4 linked regions of the Macaca fascicularis genome follow. The protein of the gene in region 1 interacts with the protein of each later gene in a pairwise test. Links are inferred from orthologs where the notes say so. Each region holds a gene or a part of one and is shown in the gene's direction. Other genes may lie near its edges. The genes, in order: FLAD1, TRIM23, CDKN1A and PRTFDC1.

Evidence for each region.
Region 2: the proteins of FLAD1 (region 1) and TRIM23 interact in binary tests that used the Homo sapiens proteins (3 or more experiments, as listed by UniProt). The two-hybrid records come from large-scale screens. The link is inferred for Macaca fascicularis from reciprocal best matches to the Homo sapiens genes FLAD1 and TRIM23.
Region 3: the proteins of FLAD1 (region 1) and CDKN1A interact in a two-hybrid assay, tested with the Homo sapiens proteins (2 studies listed by BioGRID and IntAct). The link is inferred for Macaca fascicularis from reciprocal best matches to the Homo sapiens genes FLAD1 and CDKN1A.
Region 4: the proteins of FLAD1 (region 1) and PRTFDC1 interact in binary tests that used the Homo sapiens proteins (3 or more experiments, as listed by UniProt). The two-hybrid records come from large-scale screens. The link is inferred for Macaca fascicularis from reciprocal best matches to the Homo sapiens genes FLAD1 and PRTFDC1.

Annotation. Positions count from the first base shown.
Region 1 is NC_088375.1:106,160,438-106,165,341, reverse strand, and holds the start of FLAD1 (FAD synthase), read left to right. Parts: upstream 1-1,495; 5' UTR 1,496-1,554; exon of another isoform or gene 1,555-1,822; intron 1,823-2,360; 5' UTR 2,361-2,504; coding exon 2,505-2,585; intron 2,586-4,904. UniProt on the Homo sapiens protein: Catalyzes the adenylation of flavin mononucleotide (FMN) to form flavin adenine dinucleotide (FAD) coenzyme.
Region 2 is NC_088380.1:71,307,963-71,312,288, reverse strand, and holds part of TRIM23 (E3 ubiquitin-protein ligase TRIM23), read left to right. Parts: intron 1-355; coding exon 356-477; intron 478-2,699; coding exon 2,700-2,978; intron 2,979-3,530; coding exon 3,531-3,713; intron 3,714-4,326.
Region 3 is NC_088378.1:134,986,562-134,991,545, reverse strand, and holds the start of CDKN1A (cyclin-dependent kinase inhibitor 1), read left to right. Parts: upstream 1-1,788; 5' UTR 1,789-2,014; exon of another isoform or gene 2,015-2,065; intron 2,066-4,984. UniProt on the Homo sapiens protein: Plays an important role in controlling cell cycle progression and DNA damage-induced G2 arrest. Involved in p53/TP53 mediated inhibition of cellular proliferation in response to DNA damage.
Region 4 is NC_088383.1:25,634,877-25,639,202, reverse strand, and holds part of PRTFDC1 (phosphoribosyltransferase domain-containing protein 1), read left to right. Parts: intron 1-1,840; coding exon 1,841-1,858; intron 1,859-3,247; coding exon 3,248-3,330; intron 3,331-4,326. UniProt on the Homo sapiens protein: Has low, barely detectable phosphoribosyltransferase activity (in vitro). Binds GMP, IMP and alpha-D-5-phosphoribosyl 1-pyrophosphate (PRPP). Is not expected to contribute to purine metabolism or GMP salvage.

The DNA of each region.
Region 1 (4,904 bases):
TCACACCATTCTTCTGCCTCAGCCTCCCGAGTAGCTGGGACTACAGGCGCCCGCCACCGCGCGCGGCTAATTTTTTGTGTTTTTAGTAGAGACGGGGTTTCTCCATGTTGGTCAGGCTGGTCTCCAACTCCTGACCTCAGGTGATCTGCCCGCCTCGGCCTCCCAAAGTGCTGGGACAAGGTGTGGTTTAGCAGTCTTACAAAGAATGAATTTGGCCGGGCGCGGTGGCTCACGCCTGTAATTACAGCACTTTGGGCGGCCGAGGCGGGTGGATCACGAGATCAGGAGATCGAGATCATCCTGGCTATCACGCTGAAAACCCGTCTCTACTAAAAAAAAAAAAAATATATATATATATATATATATACACACACAAAAAAAAAAAAAAAAAAAAAAAAAATTAGCCGTGCGTGGTGGCGGGCGCCTGTAGTCCCAGCTACTCGGGAGGCTGAGGCAGGAAAATGGCATGAACCCGGGAGGCGGAGCTTGCAGTGAGCCGAGATCGCGCCACTGCACTCCAGCCTGGGTGACAGAGCGAGACTCCGCCTCAAAAATCAAAAAGAATGAATTCAGGCCCTTACCATTCAAAATGTAGTCCACAGAGCAGTGGGATCACCATCACATGGGAAATAGCTAAATGCAGATCTCAGGCCCCACCCAAACCTACTGAATCAATCTGCATATGAGAAGATCCCCAGATTATTACTGGAAAAAAGTTTAAGATGCACGTTTGGGCCAAAGGCAACTGAAATGGGGGTAAGCTCGGATGATGTGAGGATCCAGAGTAAACATGTAAGGCACTCCCTATTCGCTGCCTCGTTTGCACCTACAAGACCAGTAACTGGGAAAGGTGTCATTTGAACTAAGCACCATCTGGAGCAAGGTGGAGGAAGAGAGGGTTTTGGGACTCTTTCTTGTCAAAGAGGTTTAAGTAATTAGTTTTGTCTATTATACTAGAGATAAGTTAAGGTTCCACACACCAAAAGCTCACCTACTCCAGGGTCTTCATACCCGACAGACAATGGTGATAATCTTTCTCCGTGTCCCTCCAACTTCTGCTACAAAGTAAGATCCCTGCTCACTCCAAAAGCCCTTAGCCTAGTGTTAGAGTCACAGTAAATGAAAATAGCTTAAACCATGGCTAACTGACTCATTAAATAAAACAAAGCAACATATGCATAACAATAATTTGAATCCAGCACCAGAAACACCCCTAGGACCTTACTTCACCTCCAACCACTGCTCCTTTCGCGCCCTAAACTCCTGAGGTCCCGCCCCCGATCGTGGGCTAAGGTCCGGCCCCCGTATTTCCGGGCGAGGGGTGGCCAAGTGATTGTCGCTTATAACAATCAGGCCCTGCTCTCACCTACTGGCTAAAACCTGAGAGCGACAGTTGAATACACCAATGGGACCCTGGAAGAGTCTAAGCGACAGCCAAAATCACCACTCAATGTCAGCTAAGTGTGAATAAGGCGGGACTTTAAGTACGGAAGCTGCCCCGGGACATGAGGAAAGGAACAAGGGAAAGACCCGGTGAAGGGGCAGAACAGGCAGGTGAGAGCCTAGGAGCCCTCAGTAATCTGAAGCTTGGTGGGGACAAGGGATTTCAGGGCTAGAAAGGGTGCAGAAGCCTGAAGTAGAAAGAGACGGGATTTTGGTCCGGGGTGGAGAGAGCGAATGCATTGAAAAGGGCCAAGGCCCAGGATAACGTAGACATTTAAAGGGGCAGATGCCCCGAAGAGACATTCAAAAGGATACAGATGTCCAAGATAGAGCAGACACTTGAGGAGACCAGCTCAGCAAACGGAAGACACTTAAAGCGGTAGGTTCTCAAGAGAGAAGGAGTTTTTAAGACTAGAGTTAAGCTTAGAAGACATTTAAAAGGGCATGGGGGCCGGGCACGGTGGCTCAAGCCTGTAATCCCAGCACTTTGGGAGGCCGAGACGGGCGGATCACGAGGTCAGGAGATCGAGACCATCCTGGCTAACACGGTGAAACCCCGTCTCTACTAAAAATACAAAAAAAAAAAAAAAATAAGCCGGGCGAGGTGGCGGGCGCCTGTAGTCCCAGCTGCTCGGGAGGCTGAGGCAGGAGAATTGCGCGAACCCGGGAGGCGGAGCTTGCAGTGAGCGGAGATCTGGCCACTGCACTCCAGCCTGGGCGACAGAGCCAGACTCCGTCTCAAAAAAAAAAAAAAAAAAAAAAAAAAGGGCATGGGTTGGGATTGGGGAACACGTTTATTAAAGAGGCAGGAATAAAGGAGTCGCTTGTCAAGGATCTGGTTAGAGAAGACTAGGGTCTTCCTCTAAGGAGGAACGTGCACGCCTGCTCTCCCCCATTGTCCTTTCTGGCTTCTCCAGGTTCCCTCGACCCAGGATCCCCTGTTCCCAGGCTATGGCCCCCAGTGCCCTGTAGACCTGGCGGGCCGCCTGTGCTTGCGACCCCTATTTGGGGGTCTAGGTGGCTACTGGAGGGCCTTGCAGAGGGGCAGAGAAGGCAGGACCATGACATCTAGGGCCTCTGAACTTTCCCCGGGGCGCAGCGTGACGGCTGGCATCATCATTGTTGGAGATGAGATCCTTAAGGTGTGTCTGGGACAGAAAAGGGGGGAGGGCGCCGCGTTCTCTTGTCCTTAAGGGCCTGCTGCACATCCCTCCATGGAAGGAAATGAGACAGGGTGGGAGCCTCCTTGCTGCAGTAGGATCCTGGAGTGGATGCAGCATACTGAAGGAAAATTAACCCTCATTCTTTGAATTACTCTACTGAAAAACTTGTAGCAAAGTCCCTACAATTTTTCAACCTGAGAGCTGATTGAAGAAAAATAAAAATAAAAAGGTCATTGCAATTTACCAAGCAGTATGGTAGAGGGCAGAGGGGCTACACAACAATGACAGGAAGCCCCTTGAGTAGAGGAGGTACAGGTGTATGTATTGTATATTTAAGAGTTTTACTCAGCCTTTTTGGAAATGGCTCAAGGATGACAAGGGTTTTTTTATTTTTGAGACAGGATTTTGCTCTGTCAGCTAGGCTGGAATGCAGTGGCACAGTCACAGCTCACTGAAGCCTCCATTTCCAGGCTCAAGCAGCCCTCCTGCCTCAGCCTCTGAAGTTGCTGTGACTACAGGTGTTAGCTACCACACCTGGCTAATTTATTTTTATTTTTTTGCAGAAACAGGGTCTCACTGTGTTGCCCAGGCTGGTCTCAAACTCCTGGGCTCAAGTGATCCTCCCACACCTCATCCTCCCAAAGTGCTGGGATTATAGGCATGAACCGCCGAGCTTGGCCAAATGTCAAGTTTTAATAGTAATCTTTTTTAATATTCTTTGTAAATTTGTCTTTTTTTTTTTTTTTTAAGATAGCGTCTCACTCTGTTGCCCAGGCTGGAGTGCATTGGTGGAATCTCAGCTGACTGCACCTCTACCTCTCGTGTTCAAGCAGTTCTCATGCCTCAGCCACCCGAGTAGTTGGGATGACAGGCATGAGCTACTGCACTCAGCCTTAATAGACCCTTTTTTTTTTTTTTTTTTTTTTAATTTTTGGTAGGGATGGACAGGGTTTCACCATGGCTGGTCTTGAACTCCTGACCTCAAGTGATCCACCCACCTCAGCCTCCCAAAATGTTGGGATTACAGGCGTGAGCCACCGCACCCAGCCCTGACCCCCTATTTTTATTTTTGTATGTGTGTGTATGTGTGTGAGACAGAGTTTCGCTCCTGTTGCTGAGGCTGGAGTGCAAATGGTTGCTCACTGCAACCTCTGCCTCCTAGGTTCAAGCAGTTCTCTCACCTCAGCCTCCCAAGTAGCTGAGATTACAGGCACCTGCCACCACGCCTGTCTAATTTTTGTATTTTTAGTAGAGACGGGATTTCACCATTTTGGCCAGGGTGATGACCCTTATATTTTAAGTGCCTACTAGAGCCTGGCAGTGTGCTATACATCACATATATGTGATTTTACTAATCTTCACAACAACCCTACAAAGTTGGCACTTTTTTTCTTTTTTTTTTTTTTTTTTTTTTTTTTTTTTTTTTTTTTTTTTGAGACGGAGTCTCACTCTGTCGCCCGGGCTGGAGTGCAGTGGCCAGATCTCAGCTCACTACAAGCTCCGCCTCCCGGGTTCCCGCCATTCTCCTGCCTCAGCCTCCCGAGTAGCTGGGACTACAGGCGCCCACCACCTCGCCCGGCTAGCTTTTTGTATTTTTTTAGTAGAGACGGGGTTTCACCGTGTTAGCCAGGATGGTCTCGATCTCCTGACCTCGTGATCCGCCCGTCTCGGCCTCCCAAAGTGCTGGGATTACAGGCTTGAGCCACCGTGCCCGGCCTTTTAAAATTTTATTTTTCTGTGTGTGTTTGTTTTATAAACGGGGTTCTCACAATGTTAAACAGCCCAGCCTCAAGCAATTCTCCCACCTCAGCCTCCCAAAGTGATGGGTTTACAGGCATAAGCCATCTTGCCTAGCCTTTTTTTTTTTTTTTTTTTTTTTTTTTGAGACAAAATCTCACTGTCACCCAGGCTAGAGCTAATTTTTTGTATTTTTGTGTAGAGACAGGGTTTCACCATGTTGCCCAGGCTGGTCTCGAACTCCTAGGCTCAAGCAGTCCTCCCACCTCAGCCTCCCAAAATGCTGGGATTACAGGCATGAGCCACCACACCTGGTCAGCAAAAAAGCCCAATTAATGATTAAACTGAGGGTCAGAGAGGTTGAGAAACCTGCCCAGGGTTACATACCTAGGAAGTTGTAGAGATGGGATTCCAGCCTAATGCCTGATAATCTCTTACTCCAAAACACAAACCCTTTTTTTTTCTTTGGTGACAGGGTCCCTGTCACCCAGGCTGGAGTACAGTGGCACGATCTCGGCTCACTGCAGTCTCTGCCTTCCGGGCTCAAGCAGTCCACCCACT
Region 2 (4,326 bases), on another chromosome or scaffold:
GTAGAGACAGGATTTGACCATGTTGACCGGGCTGGTCTTGAACTCCTGGCCTTAAGTGATCTGCCCGTCTCAGCCTCCCAAACTGCTGGGATTACAGTCGTGAGCCAATGCGCCTGGCCAAAAAATAATAAATTTTAAAGTGTGTTTCTACTTGGAAGCCTGAGGGATTCTTCTGTTTTTTAAAAGAGAGTATTAACAAAGCAATTATTTTGGTATCAAATAATGGGGAAAATTTGAATTTTTCAAATTTAGACATTAACGACTGAACTATATGGATTAGAAATTACTTTTGAGGTATGGGTAAAACGATTAATAGTCCATTTTGTTAGATTTAGTTTTTGTTTTTATATTCTAGGAGATTCAGGTGTCTGGGGCTTGAAAAAAAATTTTGCTTTATTGGAACTTTTGGAACGACTGCAGAATGGGCCTATTGGTCAATATGGAGCTGCAGAAGAATCCATTGGGATATCTGGAGAGGTATTGATCATACTTGGTGAAATATTTGTTACGAGCATGAATTTTTCTTTTAATATATGCCATTATTAGCACAATATTACCTCATTTAATTCAGCAGGTAAATTTCTAGAAACACAACTTTGCATTACATTACAGTTCTAAAGGCCAGCACTATTCCCAAGAGAAAAAAGTAGAACTAGAATTATTTGAAAATACGATGCCTAAACTATGCCTTATGTGTGAACTTTTTTTCCCTTATCATAATTCAGTTCTACCAAGGATAAAGTGAAAAGAGGAAGAAGATTATAGCATAGTAAGAAAGATAAGTAAGCAACAGTGGAGCAGAGGATGCAAAAGTAAATTAGTCAACAGAAAAACTCAATGAGAGAAAGTAAAACTCCATGTAAGAGGCCATTTAATATACAGGGAAAATTGCCTTAAAGATAGCAGTAGCTTCTGAGGGAATTGTTACTATTCTATCTTCAAGAAAAAGTTAAACTTTGTATAGATGTACTGTCTTTATCCATACAGGTAGATATCTGGTAAATATTAGAATCCATGAACACTGGATTTTTTAATAATGTAAAAGTATATTTTTAGCACTTACGTATTATTTGCACAGCTGCACATATGTACTATAGGACATGGCTTTCATAGGCTATTATGGATAGAAATATATTTGGAGTAAATATCAGTTAATGATTTTGGTGATCAACTTGCAAACCACATATTTGTATCAAGAAAAAAAATGTCGGATTGCTTTCTGCTTCTCTTTTATTAGATGATGATTTCTTTATACTGAAGTGAATCAGTGAAATTAATTTCAAACTGCAACACTCTGTTTTCTAAAATTTCTGCAGTTCTTTCATGTGCTAAATCTTTACTTCAAAAGACATTACTGTTAGCTAATGTTGACTTTATAATTTATAATTTATTTATTTGTCAGGTCTGGAAAACAGAAGACCTGAATTTTTATGGTACATATATACACTTCTTATAATTGCAAACAAAACTCTTCCACTTTGGATTCGTTTTTTATTTAATGTGATAATGAATGACACCACTGATGTATTTAAACATTTTTATTTTTGAAAAAATTTATACTAAATTTCTCCCCTTCCACTTATGGCCTTTTAACGTTTAGTAAAAGTGTTCAAAGCATTCTTGATTATCTGACATGTAATATTTTATCTACTTGAAATAAAAATAATTATTTAGTAATTATTTTTTGTAATTCCTGAAAACTAGAAATAATATTTAGATGCTTACATATAGGTTTTATTTGTTTATTAATTGTTATTTTTTAAGACAGAGTCTTGCTCTGTCACCCTTGCTGGAGTGCAGTGGCGTGATCTCAGTTACCTGCAGTCTCTGCCTCCTGGCTTCAAGTGATTCTTGTGCCTCAGCTACCTGAGTAGCTGGAATTACAGGTGTGCACCACCACACCTGACCAATTTTTGGATGTTTAGTAGAGATAGAGTTTCTCCATGTTGGCCAGACTGGTCTCTTACTCCTGGCCTCAAGTGATTACCTGCCTCAGCCTTCTTAAAGTGCTGGGATTACAGGTGTGAGCCACTGAGCCTGGCCTATTTTTTTTTTTTAATTATTTGCTTAAATCAGTGGTTTTCTGCCATGATTGTGCAATAGACTCACCTGTGGAGCTATTAAAATATGTGGTGTATAATTAGAAAAATATATACAAGTCTAGGGTTCATCCACAACCTGTTGAAATAAGAATTTCTCAGATTAGCGTCCAGACAACTATGTTTTTAAAAGCTTACAGCTAATTCCTACATTTTCTAAATAGTATTTGTGCTTCTGTCCTTCCTGTACATCATCATGACAACTAATACTTAAAGCTATGGGGTTATGTTTAGTATCAGATTTTTGTAGTTTTAAAAAAAGACTTTTGACTTCTCTATGGTTTAGTTTCTTTTGTGTAAAGTGAGGGGATTTGGTGGAAGAGATCTTTGCACCGAATATGAATCTACGAGAATAGTTTTATTTTTGGCTTCAAATTCATAACATATATTGGTCAGTTAATCTTGGAAATAGCTTCTTACCTGTAGAAATGAATGTTTCTCGGATGAGTATTGAATGACCTTTGTGCTTAATGACCAATATATTTTCATATGTAAATATTGGTCAGTAAAGCTAAAAAGATTATGGGATTCTATATTTAAAAATTTGTCATGTTATACTGATTGGGTTCAATTTTAAGGCATTAATTTTTTGTTTATCAGAGCATCATTCGTTGTGATGAAGATGAAGCTCACCTTGCATCTGTATATTGCACTGTGTGTGCAACTCATTTGTGCTCTGAGTGTTCTCAAGTTACTCATTCTACAAAGACATTAGCAAAGCACAGGCGAGTTCCTCTAGCTGATAAACCTCATGAGAAAACCATGTGCTCTCAGCACCAGGTGCATGCCATTGAGTTTGTTTGCTTAGAAGAAGGTTGTCAAACTAGCCCACTCATGTGCTGTGTCTGCAAAGAATATGGAAAACACCAAGGTCACAAGGTATGAATTTAATTATTAATCAATTGGATCACTGTAGCTACTTTACCAGCTCAGTATTCGTTTTCACTGACCTGGTTCTTTATTCTGAAAGTAGGCATTGAAGAAGAGTTAAGTGATGAATGATTGTGTTTGGTAGCATGAAAATAAATGAGAGATTTAATTTCTAAATGTTATTTAAAAAAGAAAAACTTCAAAGAGCGTCATTCTTCACAAAAAAATAGCCTTTGAGCAGGAAACAAACATTCTCTTTGTTTGCATGTTTTCATAATGCACCAGATTGTTTGACAATATTTATGTCTGTTAGCTCTTACTTAGGATATAATTTTAGAGATAGTCTCTTGGTTTCTTATTTAGCAATAAATGTACTTCCAAATTTTAAATTACTTCTTTGCAGTACAGTTTTCTTATAAAGGAGTGAAAGTAAATTATAGTATTTTTCTGTGTTATAAAAGTCACTTGTGGCTGATGCTTTTTTGTATTAACAGGGATTTAAATATTTTTCTATATTATTAGTCAATACTATGAGTTCTTTTCTCATGTTACATTTTATAGCATTCAGTATTGGAACCAGAAGCTAATCAGATCCGAGCATCAATTTTAGATATGGCTCACTGCATACGGACCTTCACAGAGGAAATCTCAGATTATTCCAGAAAATTAGTTGGAATTGTACAGCACATTGAAGGAGGAGAACAAATCGTGGAAGATGGAATTGGAATGGCTCACACAGAACATGTATGGTTTTTTTTTCTTCTTCCCCTTTCTCCTTGTTTTTTATTTTTCATATTTTCACCTTCTACTAAGTATTTAATGAGCAATTACAATTTGCTAGTATTGCACCAGTCATTGGAAAGTTTTTTAAAAGTCCCTGTGTTTAAGGAAGTCATTCATCACGGAACAGAGAGAGTTTTAAATGTGGTGACTATTTTATGGAGGAGAAGTACAGGGTGCTTTGGCATCACAAAACGGGCAATGATTTATGGAGGTCAGAGAAATCTTTAGAGAAGAAACAATGTTTAAACTGAGATTTGAAGAAATTCAGTCAAGGAAAAGAGCAGAATGGGGAATGAATTGTCCCAAGAAGGGAGCAATATGTTAAAATGTTTGGAAGTGAGAATTGGACATATTGTAGAGACTTAAAGAAGCTCACTAGTTAGAGCTTTGAATATTGAATGGGACATGACAAGAAAAGAGGATATGGAGAGTTCAAAGCCAAATCATGCAGGATCTCGTCAGCCATGTTAATAAAGAGTTCAGAACTTAGTTTAAGGACAGTGACGAGCCATTGAAGAATTGACATAGGAATGACATGATCAGATTTTCCTTAAGAAAGGCTGTTTTAAATGTA
Region 3 (4,984 bases), on another chromosome or scaffold:
ACTGTAAATAATTCATTACAAGCCTTTATTAAAAAAAATTTTTTCCCCCAAAGTAAACAGACAATGTCTAGTCTATTTGAAATGCTTGAAAGCAGAGGGGCTTCAAGGCCGTGGGAGGAGATGCCTATCCTCTGCTGGACATTTGACAACCCACCCTTTGGATGGTTTGGATGTATAGGAGGGAAGGTGCAGACAGCAGTGGGGCTTAGAGTGGGGTCCTGAGGCCGTGCTGTGGCCTTTCTGGGGTTTAGCCACAATCCTGGCCTGACTCTAGGACCAGGCAGGCCGAGGGGGTCTGCTGCTGTGTCCTCCCACCCCTACGGGCTCCCATTCACACAGCAGAGGAGAAAGAAGCCTGTCCTCCCTGAGGTCAGCTGCGTTAAAGGAAGAAGACTGGGCATGTCTGGGCAGAGATTTCCAGACTCTGAGCAGCCTGAGATGTAAGTAATTGTAGCTGCTCCAAGCCTGGGTTCTGTTTTTTAGTGGGATTTCTGTTCAGATGAACAATCCATCCTCTGCAATTTTTTAAAAGCAAAACTGCAAATGTTTCAGGCTCAGAAAGGAGGCAAAGGTGAAGTCCAAGGGAGGGCAGGGGTGTGCGGTAGATGGGAGCGGATAGACTTGTCATTCATCTCTGTGTCTGTCAGAAGCACCAGTAGACACTTCCAGAGTTGTCCTTTATTTATGTCATCTCCATAAACCATCTGCAAATGAGGGTTATTTGGCATTTTTGTCATTCTGGAGCCACAGAAATAAAGGATGACAAGCAGAGAGTCCTGGGCAGGAGGCAAAAGGCCTGTGTTCCAACTATAGTCATTTCTTTGCTGCATGATCTGAGTTAGGTCACTAGACTTCTCTGAGCCCCAGTTTCCCCAGAAGCGTACAGGGGCTGTGTGGGGAGTATTCAGGAGACAGACAACTCACTCGTCAAATCCTCCCCTTCCTGGCCAACAAAGCTGCTGCAACCACAGGGGTTTCGTCTGTTGAGGTGAGTGTAGGGTGTACAGAGATTGGTTCAATGTCCAATTCTTCGGTTTCCCTGGAGATCAGGTTGCCCTTTTCTGGTAGTGTCTCCAATTGCCTCCTTCCTGGAAGCATGTGACAATCAACAACTTTGTATACTTAAGTTCAGTGGACCTCAATTTCCTCATCTGTGAAATAAACGAGACTGGAAAAGCATTCCGGCCTCAAGATGCTTTGTTGGGGTGTCTAGGTGCTCCAGATGCTTCTGGGAGAGGTGACCTAGTGAGGGATCAGTGGGAATAGAGGTGATATTATAGAACTTTTCTGGAAATTGCAGAGAGGTGCATCGTTTTTATTATTTATGAATTTTTATTTATTAATGTCATCCTCCTGATCTTTTCAGCTGCATTGGGTAAATCCTTGCCTGCCAGGTCGGACTCCCCGACCCCCAGAGTGGATCAACGGTGGGCCAGAAAGGGGGCTCATTCTAACAGTGCTGTGTCCTCCTGGGGAGTGCCAACTCATTCTCCAAGTAAAAAAAGCCAGATTTGTGGCTCACTTCGTGGGGAAATATGTCCAGCGCACCAACGCAGGCGAGGGACTGGGGGAGGAGGGAAGTGCCCTCCTGCAGCACGCGAGGTTCCGGACCGGCTGGCCTGCTGGAACTCGGCCAGGCTCAGCTGGCTCGGCGCTGGGCAGCCAGGAGCCTGGGCCCCGGGGAGGGCGGTCCCGGGCGGCGCGGTGGGCCGAGCGCGGGTCCCGCCTCCTTGAGGCGGGCCCGGGCGGGGCGGTGGTATATCAGGGCCGCGCTGAGCTGCGCCAGCTGAGGTGTGAGCAGCTGCCGAAGTCAGTTCCTTGTGGGGCCAGAGCTGGGCGCGGATTCGCCGAGGCACCGAGGCACTCAGAGGAGGTGAGAGAGCGGCGGCAGACAACAGGGGACCCCGGGCCGGCGGCCCAGAGCCGAGCCGAGCGTGCCCGCGTGTGTCCGTGCGTGTCCGCGAGGATGCGTGTTCGCGGGTGTGCGCTGCGTTCACAGGTGTTTCTGTGGCAGGTGAATGACGGGCGTGGATCGGTGCGCGCTCGGCTTGCGCACACGGTATCTGTAAGTGCGCGGGTGACGGGGGTCGGGATGTGCCGGAGACCCGGGGCAGAGAGCGGGATTACCAGTACAGGGATCCCCGGTCACGATCCCCGCCCCTGGAAACCCAGCTGGGGCGAGGGAGGGCGTGGACCGGACTGCTCTGAGAGCTCGCCTTTGGCTGCGGTTGGCTGCAGGCCCCAGGCGCAGTTTGCTCGCGGCCTGGGGATGAAGTCCGTGTCCCTGGAGGGGCCCAGGAGGGGCGAGGAAAGCGGAGTGGAGTAAATTCGTCTAGGATCGGTCCTAGGCGGCTCTCGGATCCAACTGGCGCCGCCCTGGCCCAGGTCCCAGGTTCAGGTCCTCTACGCCACTGTGTCCACCACCTGGCTGGGCACTGAGGTCAGCGCGGGCTGTTTCCCGGCCCTTGGGAGTGTGCCAGGACACGTCCCCTAAGGACAAACGAGGAGGTGACTCACTGTGACAAGGAGACCCCAGGGAACGGACTGTATGAGGTCAGAACCCCGCCCGGGAAGGGGTACAATGGGACTCCCGAAGCCCTCTCCCCTGCCCCGCCGCGGTCTCCGTCCTCCCATCGGCACAGTGACCTATTTGGCTGGAACAGCTTGTTCCCAGGGAAGCAGGGCACCGGAGGTCCAGGACACCGCGTCGGGTCCCCGCTTCGCTAGGGGTCGGGGAGTCACGACTCTGCGCTGGGCGGGCTCCAACCAGCCTGTCAGTCGGGGAAGGGCAAGGGTCTCCTCTAACTCTTTCCCACCGCGGCCGGGAGAATCACGGCCCAGCCTGCCCTCGGGTCGGGGCGCTGGACTCCGGGGCGAGAGCAGAGCCCACGCCTGGGTGGGAGGTGGTAAGGGGTCAGGTCTTTGCGGGGTGGGGATTCTGGGGGGCACGACGCTGCTCAGGGCCTCCATCAGCTGCCTCGGTGGCGCCCCGACCTAGCCCAGATTCCCTCTCGGAAAGCGACAGGGCTGAGCGGAGCAGGGGGGCGAGTCGCCCCCTGGGGCGCCGCCACTTGGCGCGGATCACAGCGCATCCTCTCGGTCCAGAACCCCTGGGGGACACTTGCGCCCTCTTCGTGCGGAAAAGCATCTTGGAGCTGGGTTTGGAACTTGGGGCGCCCAGGCAGCTTCCCCTCTCCTTCCCTCCCTCCACGTCGCGTTTCTGGGAGGACTTGCGAGCGGTTTTGTTTTCGTTGCTCCCGTCTATTTTTATTTTCCAGGGATCTGACTCATCCCATGCTTTGGGCGTGGAGATAAGGTGGAGGGGTCGGCTCCCGGCGCGTGTGTGTGTGTGCGCGCGCGCGCGTGTGTGCGTGTGTGTGTGTGTGTGTGTCAGAGACGGCACAAGAGCGCGCGGTTTCCCAACAGCGGCGGGAGTTTCGGAAGCCTGGCCGGCTCAGCGTGACGTGTTCGCGGCGCCCCCCCGCTGTCCCCTCCCATGCTCCCCCTCCCCACCCCAGGGTGACGCGCAGCCGGAGTGGAAGCAGAGTTTTGGCGGGCGAGCAGCGCCTTGCAGGAAACTGACTCATCACTACTCCCTCCCGCAGTCCGAGGCTCTGCCCACGCACCTCCCACCCCGCGCGTGATTTCCTGGAGGCCGGCGCCCCCTCCCGGCCCTGGCGGTAATAGCACACCGGCTTTCCCGCGGAGTGGGGCTGGCCGGCGCGAACCGCCGCGGCTACTCCGAGAATAACCCCTATGCCATTACCACCCCTTCAAAGGAGCACTCCTTAGATTCAACAGTATTTACTGAGCTCTTACTGGAAATTAAAATATGGCTGAAGTCTAAGGCAGCAAAGCCAATAAAGGAGGCTATTTTCAGTTGTTTGTAAAACACGGGTTTACGTTTCTGTTTTCTTTGGGCTGAAAGTTATTATGACAATGAGCATGAGAGCAGATTTTGATGGGCGAGGAGAGGCCTATAAGAGCCATAAGAGAAGGATGGGTGGTAGAAGAGGAGAGGGTACCTGCCTAGATCCTAGTCCTGTCTTGAGCTCCCGGGAGCCAGGGAATATCCAGCTCCTTGATGAAGCCCTAGGCGGGCTCCTCCTCCTTGTGCCTATGATGTATTGAGACCAAGAATGTCCATTTCAAACACACCAGTGTGTCCCCCTTTGGCTGGCACCCCAAGAGTGCCCATCTGAGGAACGGTGCCAAACACTTGCTTGAAACTTCAATTTGGATTAAGTTGGTCTCAAGAGGCAGGGATTTTTCAAAATCTATATTTTGAAAAAGCTCCCTAGGTGCTTCTTTCTTTCTTTCTTTCTTTATTTCTTTCTTTCTTTCTTTCTTTCTTTCTTTCTTTCTTTCTTTCTTTCTTTCTTTCTTTCTTTTCTTTCTTTCTTTCTTTCTTTCTTTCTTTCTTTCTTTCTTTCTTTCTTTCTTTCTTTCTTTCTTTCTTTCTTTCTTTTTCTTTCCTGCCTGCTTGCTTGCTTGCTTGCTTTCTTTCTTTCTCTCTCTCTCTTTTTCTTTCTTTCTCTTTCTTTCTTTCTTTCTTTCTTTCTTTCTTTCTTCCTTCCTTTCTTCCTTTCTTCCTTTCTTTCTTCCTTCCTTCCTTCCTTCCTTCCTTCCTTCCTTTCTTTCTTTCTTTCTTTCTTTCTTTCTTTCTTCCTTCCTTTCTTCCTTTCTTCCTTTCTTTCTTTTTCTTTCCTGCCTGCTTGCTTGCTTGCTTGCTTGCTTGCTTGCTTGCTTGCTTTCTTTCTCTCTCTCTCTTTTTCTTTCTTTCTCTTTCTCTTTCTTTCTTTCTTTCTTTCTTTCTTTCTTTCTTTCTTTCTTCCTTCCTTTCTTCCTTTCTTCCTTTCTTTCTTCCTTCCTTCCTTCCTTCCTTCCTTCCTTCCTTCCTTCCTTCCTTCCTTTCTTTCTTTCTTTCTTTCTTTCTTTCTTTCTTTCTTTCTTTCTTTCTTTCTTTCTTTCTTTCTTTCTTTTC
Region 4 (4,326 bases), on another chromosome or scaffold:
TTTAGTAGAGACGGGGTTTCACCAAGTTGGCCAGGCTGGTCTCGAACTCCTGACCTCAGGTGATCCACCCACCTCGGCCTCCCAAAGTGCTGGGATTACAGGCGTGAGCCACTGTGCCGGGTCATGATTCTTAAAGTATTGTATAAATCATAGAGATAAATGTAAAGTCATCTAAAGAAAGAAAAACACCATTACATTGAAAGAATAGTCTCACCATTTAGTAAATTGGGATGGCATATTAACACAGTCATATTTTAATTTGGTGGGGCAGCATTGACATGTCACTCCTAATCCAATTAATCGGTCAGTTTTAACTCAGTAATAAGTTTAATCAGTTGTTATTGCTTTATTCAACAAATAATTATTGAGCACTTATATGCAGGCATTATGCTAGTTTCTGGCAATATGGTAGGAATCGAGACAAACATGATCCCCACCTCATGGCGATTAGAATATAGTGGGGAAGACATATCAAACAAGAAATTAAAATGTAGTACAATCATCGTGTATTAGTCCTTCCTCACACTGATATAAAGAAATACCTGAGACTGGGTAATTTATCAAGAGAAAAGGTGTAGGTGGCTCTCAGTTCCACAGGCTGTATAGGAAGCATGACGCTGGCATCTGTTCTGCTTCTGGGGAGGCTTCAGGAAACTTAAAATTATGGCAGAAGGCAGCCGGGTGTGGCGGCTCGTGCCTGTAATCCCAGCACTTTGGGAGGCCAAGAAGGGCAGATCACTTGAGCTCCTAAGTTTGTGACCAGCCTGGCCAACATGGTAAAACTCCATCTCTACTGAAAATACAAAAATTAGCCAGGCGTGGTGGTGCACACCTGTAATCCCAGCCATGTGGGAAGGTGAGGTGGGAGAATCGCTTGAACCCGGGAAGCGGAGGTTACAGTGAGCGGAGATCGCACCACTGCACTGCAGCCTGGGTGACAGAGTGGGATGCTGTTTCAAAAAAAAAAAAAAATTATAGCAGAGGCAAAGGGAGAGCAGCACTTCACATGTCTGGAGACAGACATGGAGCAAGAGAAAGAGGGGGAGGTGTCCTACACCTTTAAACAACCAGATTTCAGGGCAACTCACTATCAGGACACCACCACCAAGGGACGTGATGCTAAACCATTCATGAGACCCACCCCCCTGATCCAGTCACCTCCCACCAGGCCCCGCCTCTAGCGCTGAGGATTACGTTTCAGCATATTTGGGCAGGGACACAAATCCAAACCATATCACAGTGTGCTTAGGGAAGAGGTAGAGGAATGCCTTGAGACCTTGTTGCAAGGAATCTAACCATCTCACTAAAAATACACACCAGGCACCTCCCAGTCCTTTCTCTAGCCTACTGTCTTCATCTAGGTTGGCAATCCAAGAGGAAATCCTGAGTCCCCAGGGATTTTGGTGGTCGTGCAAGAGGAAGGCTGTCACAGCTGAACCCATGATGCATTTACCAAGCACAATCTCCGTTAGTGATGCGGTTCATGTTGCATTGTTTTCCTGGGAAACTCTTAACAGGCTTTGCCTCCCAGGTGGGGGTGGGAGGCCCTTGGCAGAATTACTGAGAAGGGATGACTTTATGGAGAGCTCGTCAGACAGGTCTAACATAAGCTTGTTTCTAACCTAAATATAGATACTAACATTGCATCACCAACTAATGCCGGAGGACCTGTTAAAATGAATCTGGAAAACCTAGATCACCTCTAGTCCTTTGAATTAGATGGATGGGGAAGGACTGTCTGAGCAAATTGTGAAATTCTAACTATAAGCAAAAAAATGTGTATGTATCCTGTGAGTCAGATTGGCATCGCATTCTAAAATACGGGTTTTGTTTATTTCAGAATGTTCTCATTGTTGAGGTAAGCTGGCATTTCCTTTCCATACTTGGAGGTTGAAAGACTCTAATGGTGAGTTTTAAACTGCACACCTTGTTATCAAATTGACCAAGGATTTCTTGAGCTCCCACTGGGTGCATGCTCTCCAAATTTAATGAATACGGGCCAAATAGCATCCCTGATTTCAAATAATGTAGAATAAGAGCTTGGCAACAATATTTGTGGACGACTTTGTCCTTTTTGTGTATCCAGTTCCACGTATCTCTGTGTTGATTCTTATGGTTCTTTGTGAATCAGACAAGTTTAAAGAAGAGGAAACTAGCTCACCGAACCAAATTCATTTCACAATGAAACCAAGGTTAGAACTCTGTTTGCCCTGAATTCAGTGTTTTTGCTAAGGACCTCTGACGATTTTGAGAATTCTCAAATACTTTCAGCATCAAAATCATAAACACAATCAATTAAAAATGGTGAGCTATGGGGAAAGCTATGGTTTTGGGTTTTTTTGGTTTTGTTTTGTTTTGTTTTACGTTTGTTTTTCTGTTAAAAAAGAGAACGTGGGATCCCTATGGCAGTAGTGGACTAATACAGCAAATGGCCACGTTTCCTTCAGGAGCATGCTCGTCTCATCAAACAGCAAAAAATTCAGGGGAGCTATTTTCAACCTTTTGCTACACAATTGCCTGTGTGCGCCATGTGTATCTGGAGTTCTTGCTCAGTATAACCCATGGAGCAGACCCTCTCACCAAATGAATTGCCCAAGCCTGGTTACATTCAGACCTGTTGTTTTGATAATCAGCTCGTGACAGCTGATTCCTGTCCTTAGGACAATAAATCGCGGCTGCCCATTCTCCTCTAATTGTGCAGCAGCTCATCAGCGGAGATGAGCCCGAGCTCACTGCAGCCGTGGACCCTCAGAATTCACAGGCTGTCACCAGCTGCTGTCCAGACACCTCTCACTTCCCAGCCATAGAATGCCCTATTGAGTGGGGGAGGATGAGGGGGAGGCATTTATCCATTCAGTGTATTCAGATGTACATATCCATGAAAATTCATGTGCCTTGTATTGTGTTACATAACCTCAGGGCCAAATTTAGTCCTTGAATGTGCATACGCGAGTCCAAATGTACTCAATGAGGAGTCCCACATGCTGTCCAAAGGCTAAATTTGGCCCTTCAACACAGCTAAAGGATTCAAGGAGGAAAGAGTCTCCGGTAGATTCCCCAAAACTCAGCTTCCAGAAGGAAGTGCCTGTCTAGATAAAACATAACCCACTCCTCCTCCTCCTTTGGCTCCAAATTGGATGGCATTTTTAATTACGATGCATTATTAATCAGGAGTATCGCCCTGGATGAAAAGTCTGTTGTGCTGCTCAGATGCACTTTGTTGAATTTATCTGTCCTTTCTGCAAAGGATGTCGTCGGAACTGGGAGGACCATGAAAGCACTACTCAGCAATATAGAGAAATACAAGCCCAACATGGTTAAGGTAGCCAGGTGAGTTGGACATTCATAGCATGGTGATTTCTGGTTTTCCAAGCAAGCCCAAAAGGTATGCTAACACAGGATGCTCTTTCCAAACAGTATAATATATTCCAATCTAGTGACCTTTTCCCCTGGGGTATTACAGTTTGACCACACTGAAAAGCAGCCCTTGACTGCTAGCCTGAGAGAAGAAAGGGAAGAAGACGTGCTTCGCCATGTTTCTGAGTTCCTCTTTACTGAGCCTCCATTAGCTGTTTCCAGGAGCAGCTGGATGAGCCCCCGTGCAATTGCTCTTCTCCCTTCATTTTTTTGTTTGTTTGTGTTGAGACACAGCCTTTCTCTGTCGCCCAGGCTGAAGTGCAGTGGCACAATCTCAGCTCACTGCAACCTCTGCCCTCTGAGTTCGAACAATTCTCATGCCTCAGCTTCCCAAGTAGCTGGGACTACAGGCGCCCGCCACCGTGCCTAGCTAATGTTTTGTATTTTTAGCAGAGATGAGCTAGGGTTTCACCATGTTGGCCAGGATGGTCTGAACTCCTGACCTCAAGTGATCTGCCTGCCTCAGCCGCCCCAAGTGCTAGGATTACAGGCATGAGCCACTGCACCCAGACCTTTTTTAGAGCAAGAGACAGGGTCTTGCTCTATGATCACAGTAGTGTGATCATAACACACTGCAGCCTCAAACTTCTGGGCTCAAGTGATCCTCCCACCTCAACCTCCTGAGTAGCTAGGTACAGCTACCCCCTATTTTTTGTTTGTTTGTTTTTTTGTTTGAGATGGAGTCTTGCTCTGTCACCCAGACTGGAGTGCAGTGGTGCAGTCTCAGCTTACTGCAACCTCAACCTCCTGGGTTCAAGTGATTCTCTTGCCTCAGACTCCCATGAAGCTGAGACTACGGATGCATACCACCATGCCCAGCTAATTTTTGTATTTTTAGTAAAGATGCGGTTTCACCATGTTGGCCAGGCTGGTCTCAAACTTATGAGCTCAAGTGATCTGCCCTTCTTG